2 linked regions of the Oryzias latipes genome follow. The protein of the gene in region 1 purifies or fractionates together with the protein of each later gene. This does not show direct contact. Links are inferred from orthologs where the notes say so. Each region holds a gene or a part of one and is shown in the gene's direction. Other genes may lie near its edges.

Region 1 (4,429 bases):
CACCCCCACCCCCACCCCCCACTTTATATCAAACAACGCCCGGTTGATAAACACGCGCCTCGCGCGGCCTCGGTCACACGGGCGCCCACGGCCCCTTCAGTCTTCTGAGGAATTAGCCGCAGCATTTCAACTAATTGCTGCTAATTGGCTGTAATAGCCTCGCTGCAGAATGGGGGGGGGGGTTCCCATTTAGTTAAATGTCTTACGAAGTTCTTCAATTAAGGGAGCGCGCGACAGGCTGCGCGTGGCCGCAGAATTCTGCGGTTGTTGCGGCCTAAGTTCTGCCGCGCCGCAGCTGCGGCTGCTGTGCTGTGCGGGGTAAAAACCCGCAGCTGAAGCTGTGCGGTTAGAACGCAGACCGCAGATCTGAGGGTTTGCGGGGGCAGCACCCGCAGCGGCGCGTGTCCACCGGCGGGAACGGATCCCAAACGGTTTCGGGAGTTCTGAGGTCTGAACATTTAAAAAGAAATAATTTTCTTATCCAGACAATTTGTTGGAATAATATTGAAAGGAACATTTGTATTTTTGTCATTCTATAATAGGGAGCTCAAACTAAATTGATGTAAACAGAATAATTTACCTGCCGGGATTAAAACAAAATTCTGAATTAAAATAAAATCAGGTTTCTTTAAAGCTCATGGAGAAAGTGTGGCGCCTTCATCTCTCACGTGAAAATAATACAAATCCTTTCTATTTTGGGAGGTGGAAGCACATTCTGCCTGTAAAATTGGAGCCATCAAGAGCTCCATTCCTGTTCCGCTGCTTCAGCTCAAATGGCTCCTGTGCGTAAAATCTTCCCCATGCCTGGGTTAAACTGTAATGGCTCCTTGAGCATTAAGGCAAGATGCTGCTGAGGGCTACCTGGCGTTGTGCTGCAGGAGAGCAGCTACTTGAACACCACCAACTTCATATGAGAGCCTCTCCTGCTCCAGACTTGATTTCTCCCCCTTTCCTTTTCTAGCAGGTCTCTCACCCGCGAGCGTGCATCCGACATTAGGTGACACGCTGCTGCGCCCAATGATCTCAAAAGGAGGGGAGGAAAAAGTGAGAGGGGGGGGGGTTCATTTACGCATCCACTTAACGCGCGGATGTGTATTTATTTACTTATCAGTATCAGTCATTTTCCTCCCCGCGAGCGCACTTTTGCATGTCTGAGTACGAGCAGGCAGCAACAAACAATCCTGCAATCACGGAGGCCTCTCGTGGCCATTAAAAGTCAGTGGTTCTGCTGAGGAGTGCTCCTCCGACCCTCGAGTCCACACAGGCCTCCTTTCATCAAGAGGCCCTCGTAAACATCACTACAGTTAATAAAGTGCATTGTGGTCACTGCAGCCCCGAGCTGCGGCCGCGGCAGCAACAAGTCAGAAAGTTGGCGCGCGGCTCCGGCCGCGCTCACGCACGCACGCACGCACGCGGCGTATGTTGTTGTCGGTGGGAGGGAGCGCCTGTCTTCTAAGTGAAATTACGCGCAGCCAAAGGAGGTTAGAGCTGTTTGGTATTGTTGCAGAGGCCCCGCCTCTGACGGGAGCCCGAAACCTGGCTGCCAGCTAAAACAAACCCGAGCCAGCGCCGAGCTCCCACTCAATCCAATTAAGGCGGACTTGAGGCGCTCTCCTACGTCTTCATCGAGCAGAGTCGACGTTGAGACAACAGGAACCAGAGGGGCTTTGGCCAAGAAAAAAAAAGGAGAGGAGAGAGAAGGAGAGATTGCCTTGCCTTCTAATTTCTCCCTCTCCAGCCACAGAACAATGTCGATGAGCCCCAAGCAGACGACTCCTTTTTCTGTTTCCGATATCTTGAGTCCCCTTGAGGAGAGCTATAAGAAAGTAAGTATGGACAACAACAACCTGGGGGCGCCTCTCACTTCTTACCGGCAGCCGCAGGTCTCCCAGGCCGCTATGCAGCAGCACCACATGGGCCACAACGGGACCGTGTCGGCGGCTTACCACATGACCGCGGCGGGGGTCTCCCAGCTGTCGCACACCGCCATGGGGGGCTACTGTAACGGCAACCTGGGCAACATGGGCGAGCTGCCCTCCTACCAGGACGGCATGAGGGGCAGCGCCGCGGCCACCGGCTGGTACGGAGCCAACCCGGACCCGCGCTTCTCCACCAGTGAGTATCGAGCGCGCGCGCCAAATCTGGGATTTACGCAGAGATTGGAGCCTCGTTTCAGAGCAACTAAAGCGCGCGAGGGTTTCATGAAATGATGTCAACATCTGGATAAAACATGGAATTAAAACAGGACTTTTTTTTATCTAAAATTTCTAAATCATGATTTTTAAATTAAAGAAAATGACACATTACTGTTGCTCGTTTCGCGTTTGAGTCCAAAACTTTTAAAACATTTTTATTCATCAACAAAGAAATTTAGTTTTTGCTTCTTCCTGCGTAAAATCTGACCGCGCTTCTCATCTTCTCAGTTTCCCGCTTCATGGGCTCGTCGTCGGGCATGAACATGGGCAGCATGGGGAGCCTCGGGTCCCTGGCAGATGTGGGGAAAGGCATGAGCTCCCTGTCCAGCACCCCGAGGCGGAAGCGGCGCGTGCTGTTCTCCCAGGCGCAGGTGTACGAGCTGGAACGGCGCTTCAAGCAGCAGAAGTACCTGTCTGCGCCGGAGAGGGAACACCTGGCAAGCATGATCCACCTCACCCCGACCCAGGTGAAAATCTGGTTCCAGAACCACCGCTACAAGATGAAGAGGCAGGCGAAGGACAAGGCGTCGCAGCAGCACCTGCAGCAGGACGGCGGCTCCTGCCAGCAGCAGCAGCAGCAGCAGCAGTCCCCGCGGAGGGTGGCCGTGCCGGTGCTGGTGAAGGACGGGAAGCCGTGCCAGGGCAGCGGCCACACGCCCACGTCCTCCGCGCAGACGCACCACCAGCAAGGAGGCAACGTCATGATCATGTCCAGCGGCGCGTCCGGCCTCGGGCACCAGAGCCAGCAGGTGGGAAGCACGGGTCACTCCCCGGACTTGGCGTCGTCCAGTCCGCCGTCCATGCAGAGCCAGGTGGCCGGCCTCTCCCACCTCAACTCCCCCGGCGCGGAGTACGGCTCGGCCCTGCAGTGTTCCGCGCTGCTGTACGGCAGGACGTGGTGACAGGAGGCGCCGGCTGCGACCCCCGAACACGCAAAGTTTTTCTCTTTTTAAAGATTATTGTAAAAATGTCAACAGAAAAGCCGCCATTTTTCAAAGACCACGCGTGGAAAAAGTTTTCCCAGAAACTGCGGATGTGAAAATGTTGGGAATTATTTATGTAAATTATATTCAGAGAAAAAGAGGAAAAAGCCGGGCGCATGAACACGAGTGGACTGCTGCACCCCCCTCCCCACGGACACGAACCCACGACACGACTCTGATTTATCCTAGAAATTCATGTAAGAGTAGAGTAGCGTGTATATTTCTGTCCGAGGTTTGGATTTTAGATCTTTGTTGTACAGATGTTTTGGAGGTTTTTGCTCGTTTGTTGTCGTTTCTGGTATTTGTACGTTTTTTTCTTTGTAACTTAAAAAGAAATTTGAAAAATAGTCCTATAAATAAATTATGGAAAAAACAGGTAAAGTTTCTGACACATGTTAATGAGGGCGCTTTAAATCATGAAGCGATACACAAATATTTATCCTCATTACTTAAAAAGTATTTTTACGTCATAAATCCAGCCGTCGGCGGATCAAAGCGGCTCTTATTGTGAAAGTGCCTCTTATCTGCGCGTTTTCACTCCGTGACAGATCGCCCCGCTTATCGCGGAGGCCGCGGCGCGCAAACATTTGCGCCCCGCAGGTAAACTCGCCCTTTTTGACTTCCTTTCGCGCGCGCGCGCGTCCTCTCCGCGTGAGTCACTCAGGTGAGGTTTGTCAGCATCAGTCGGAGCACAAAGGCGCCTTATCGGGGAAAATCTGAAAGCAAACAAATTCCTCTCCAGTGACGGCGCAGCTGATCAATAATCAATCCACAAATTTGTGTTGGAACAACAAAAACACACAAACAGTTGCTGCACATTTTCGTATTTTCTGATGCGCCTTTTGAAATTGACCGCAATAAAGACCCGTAATCTCTGTCTTTTCTGCGGGTTATTACCGCGCAGCCTATAATAACCATTAGACTCTATTCTCCCGCGCGGCGCGGCCGTATCTTCGACGGTAAACAACGTGGTTGCTAAGCGACGGAGGAAATAGAAGAATAAATGGTCTGTTTAGGATTCTCGGCTTCATCATTTCTGAGTCTGAAAAACAACGAAGGCAGTTTGACCCGAACGTGATTGAACTGAGCGGGAACGGACGGCATCCGGGAGGAGCCAAAACTCTGCTTTGGATTATTTCTGATTTTTCTGAGCGGCTGGTTCTGACGGAAACGTTCCGGGTCATGTGATCCGTGGGCTCTGAGGCCTGCGGATCCACCGAATCTGGAAAGTTCTGGAAGGAAGTGGTTTTC
Region 2 (4,495 bases), about 1.4 Mb from region 1:
GACTCACGATCAGAACACACGCCGTCTTTCAGCCTGAGCCCAAACACACCTTACCCTCCCTGTGACCCTCTCGCTGTCCCCGGGGGGGGGGGGGGGGGGGGGGGGGGGGGCATCACATCCAGGTTCAGGTCCAGGTCTGGTCCCGAAGTCCTCCAGTCTCTGCAGTGACATCATAATTACCGTGGAGCGCCGTCCTGACTGACAGCTACAGGATTTATGGTACTGAGTCACACCGAAACCGGAACCAGCTCCATCACCCGGGTCTGACGCAGTCCAGGAGGCGAGGAGAAGAATGGGCCTGAACAAGTTCTGGACCCTAACCACTGAAACCAGAACCGCTCCTGTCCAGTTTTCACCTGGTGCCGAACATCCACACACTGTCAGTGGAAATGAGACCCGTTCTTCCCGTCAGAACTCTTGGACCGGGTCTCAGAACCACACAGAACTTTTAACAAAAGCATTTTTACAAAAAACAGGTTAAAAGACAACAACAAAGTTCTCATGAGAACAGAGATAGTGAAAAGTAAAGAGGAACACTTCGACTGATTTTCTAAAATCCTAAAAATCTAAAACTATTTAAAATCCTTCAAACGTTTTTCTGAACATTTGTTGAGATCAGAACCACAGAGATCCAACCAAAGCAGACAGTTTAATCATAATTAATATTTTTAACGTGCCTTTAACACAAACTAAACGTAAGCACTTTTACATTAAAGCTTATATCACAGAAACTGTAAAAAAATATTGAATAAATAAGTGAAAAAAAACTAGTAAAACACTTCGAGGCAATTTCTTACAAAGTTAAATATTGAAATGAATATTTTACTTTGTAAGAACATTTTTTCAATAAAGTCAACAAATTTCTGACATAAGTGGCGTTTTTCAAGAAAATGTTCATTCAATTAAATAAAAGTTTTAATGGTAAAAAAAAAGAATATTTAACACAAAAGAATTAGAAAAATGATTAATTACTTTCATTTGAAATCATTCCGTCCTTTTTTATTTTTAATATTTCATGACATTTTCTCTTTTTTTGTAGTTAGCTTCTTCTGGGCCTCAAAGAGCGAAAAAGGAATCGAACCCATCCACCGCTGCGCATGCGTAGAGCGACAGGAACAGCTATTAAAACTGTAACAGATAAATGTTCCTGTGACCTGTGCTCCATCTTTCTGTTGCCTTGACAACAAATTCACTCATTTATCGCGTATTTCTGAGGCAGATCAATGAACAGAACCGGTTCCTGTTTTCATGATTGTCTCTTCTTCTGAACATTTTAGGCCCCGCCTCTTTCCGGTCAGAGGCCACGCCCACCATGGTCACTTCACAGATGATGATAAAAAACTCTTTCAGGAGGAATCTGCAGACTTTCTCCTGACCTGAGTTCCGTCCGGACACCAGAACCTTCCGCCTGGTTCTAGAGACTTTGAGTTTGCATTGGACCTTCGGTTCCGTCACAGTTCCAGCCCCTACAGAAGGCATCTCCACTTTGACAGGACCGCCCACCGTCACTTCGTGAGACTAACCGGATGTGAGCTCGAGCAAACAACTATACACCTGTCCGCGTGACCCGCAGGTGAGTTTCCGGCTCGACTCCCCCACCACGTGACAGCCCCCCCCCCCCCAACCCATCCAGTTGGTCCGACGCTGATCATAGAGGAGGGGGGAAGCAGGAGGCGGGGGGGGCGCGGGGGCTGGACCTGCGCGAGGAGGAGCGTCACATCAGCCCGCAGGTCACCTTCGTCACCTCCTCCTCTTCCTCACTCTGCCTCTGTGCGCGCGGCTCGCTGGGCTCGGCGCGGCGCGGACGCACGACAACGGACCGAACCGGGACAGGGGGCCATTGACCCGGAGCGGACCCCGTCATGCTGGGTGCGGTGAAGATGGAAGGGCACGAGGCTCCGGACTGGACCGGCTACTACAGCGAGGAGGTCGGTACCGCGCGCGCCGAACTACCGGTAAAGAACTTTGAGGACGGGTCGCGAGGCGAAAGAAAAAAGAAAAGTAACAAGATGCTTATTAGAAAAAGTAAAATTTAAAGAAAAAAAATAAACTAAAAATTCAAAATTCGGATCCAAATTTTTTGCAGGTGTTTAAAATTAAAAAATAACAATAATCCGCTCTAAAAAATATTTTAAAGGTTTTATCTGTTTATAAAATAAAATTAAAAAATGACTAATTTTGAAAATGTTATTGTTGGTTCCAAAGCGCGCGTGCCCGATCTTTACAAAAAAAAAAATCATTTGATTAAAGGTTTTAAAACGCAATTATCCTTCCAACACGGAGTTCGGATTAATTTCTCTTTTTACTCGTAACATTTTGTTTTATGTTATTTTACTGCCGTTTGCTTGAATTAAATTAAATGATTTTAAGTTTAAACCTAAACAATTTTGATCTAAATGTTAGGGAAAACGGGTTAATATTTGTTTATTTATTACATTACAATATATATATATATATATATATATATATATATATATATATATAGATATAGATAGATAGATAGATAGATAGATAGATAGATAGATAGATAGATAGATAGATAGATAGATATAGATATAGATATAGATATATAGATATAGATAGATATAGATATAGATATAGATATAGATAGATATAGATATAGATATAGATATAGATAGATATAGATATAGATATAGATATAGATAGATATATATAGATATATATGTATGAATAAAAACATTCATTTTTTTATTTAAAAAGGAATAAAATAATATCCCCCGAAATTAAATGGATCTGAGCAGCATTAATAAATGTTTTTGTGAATTTACTCAATGATGAATTAATTATTAATAACAATTATTAACGGTAATAAATAAATAATATTCTCTCAGTCTGAACCACTCTTAATTTTTTTTTTCTTTTTACAAATCACAACATTTCATCCAAAGTTCGTTTCTTCCGTCCTTTGCTTCCGTGAAGACCGAAGGCGGGAAGGCCCGCAGCGGCGGCAAACGGACCGAACCTCATCCACATGTCCGAACACGCAGACGAACCTCGACTCCGTCTTTCTAATAAATCTATTTCTGGGGAAAATATTCACCATCATTTTTTTTAATAAACACAAGGAGCTTTTTATTTTTGTTTTAGATTTAAATTAATGTTTATCAAAATATTCAATAATTTCTATATTTTTGGTACATTTAGTAAATGTTAGTAAACTGTTAAAATAAAATTGTAATATAATATAATAATAATAATATATTATAATGAGTAATAATAACATAACAATAACGTGACCTTGGGGTTCTGATGGGCCATAAAAGACACGTGGGAACAGAACCTGTTCTCCTCCAGCTGCAGCTGAATCGGACTTTATCATGAAACTCATTAGATGTGTTGGACCCACGAACCTCACGTAGTCCCTTCACACTAGAACCGGATCAGAACAAAGAGGTTCTCGTCATTGGAATGGGTTTAGAGCTTTCATCCTCTTCAAAATTTCACGTCTCGGGTTCAGTCTGTGGTTCTGGAAGGTGCGTACCACTATGATGGTTCCTTTGAAAAAAATCTGGTCCAGAACCGGATAAAGCCTGCTGATCCAGAACATTCTGAGCTGCTCAGAAAGCGCCGTTTCATCTCAAACTTGTGTAAAAATGATGATAATCATGAATGGAATCTCTTTTGGGTTTTTATTAACCGGGTCAGGCTGGTATCAAACCCCACTGATGAAACTTCCTGTGTTCTGCTCAGTATCTTATCTGGGCCTTGCAGCTCTTGGTTCTGCACATGTGAGGTGGGCCTGCGGGGGATAACTGGTTCTGGTTCTGTTTGCAGGTATACTCTCCGATGGGCGGCGCTGGGATGGGTTCTGGGCTCGGGATGGGCTCCATGTCCGGCTACATGTCCAGCAGTGGAACCACCCCCGGCTCCTTCAACATGTCCTACAGTGGTTCTGGACTGACCCATTCGCCCGTGGGGGCGATGGCGGGCTCGGCTCCGGTGGCCATGTCTGGTCTGGGAGGGGGCGTGGCTTCCATGGGCGGGGCGCTGAGCCCGTCCAGCATGAGCTCGGTGTCGGGCCAGCAGGCCTCCATGGGCCTGAACCCGTATGGCAGCATGAGCCCCGCCATGAGCCCCAGCATGGCGTACAGCGGCGCCGGACTGAACCGAGCCCGAGACAACAAAACCTTCAGACGGAGCTACCCCCACGCCAAGCCGCCCTACTCCTACATCTCGCTCATCACCATGGCGATTCAGCAGGCCCCCAGTAAGATGCTGACCCTTAGCGAGATCTACCAGTGGATCATGGACCTGTTCCCGTACTACCGGCAGAACCAGCAGCGCTGGCAGAACTCCATCCGTCACTCGCTGTCCTTCAACGACTGTTTTGTGAAGGTGTCGCGGTCCCCGGACAAGCCAGGGAAGGGCTCCTACTGGACCCTGCACCCGGACTCGGGGAACATGTTTGAGAACGGCTGCTACCTCCGGCGCCAAAAGAGGTTCAAGTGCGAGAAGAAGATATCGGGAAAGGCGG

The links.
Region 2: the proteins of nkx2-1 (region 1) and foxa1 purify together in Homo sapiens (affinity purification with western blotting; 3 studies listed by BioGRID and IntAct, with this or other methods). This does not show direct contact. The link is inferred for Oryzias latipes from reciprocal best matches to the Homo sapiens genes NKX2-1 and FOXA1.

The regions. Positions count from the first base shown.
Region 1 is NC_019880.2:861,071-865,499, forward strand, and holds the start of nkx2-1 (homeobox protein Nkx-2.1), read left to right. Parts: upstream 1-1,524; 5' UTR 1,525-1,748; coding exon 1,749-2,115; intron 2,116-2,423; coding exon 2,424-3,097; 3' UTR 3,098-4,429. UniProt on the Homo sapiens protein: Transcription factor that binds and activates the promoter of thyroid specific genes such as thyroglobulin, thyroperoxidase, and thyrotropin receptor. Crucial in the maintenance of the thyroid differentiation phenotype.
Region 2 is NC_019880.2:2,255,327-2,259,821, reverse strand, and holds the start of foxa1 (hepatocyte nuclear factor 3-alpha), read left to right. Parts: upstream 1-1,505; 5' UTR 1,506-1,862; coding exon 1,863-1,928; intron 1,929-3,795; coding exon 3,796-4,495. UniProt on the Homo sapiens protein: Transcription factor that is involved in embryonic development, establishment of tissue-specific gene expression and regulation of gene expression in differentiated tissues.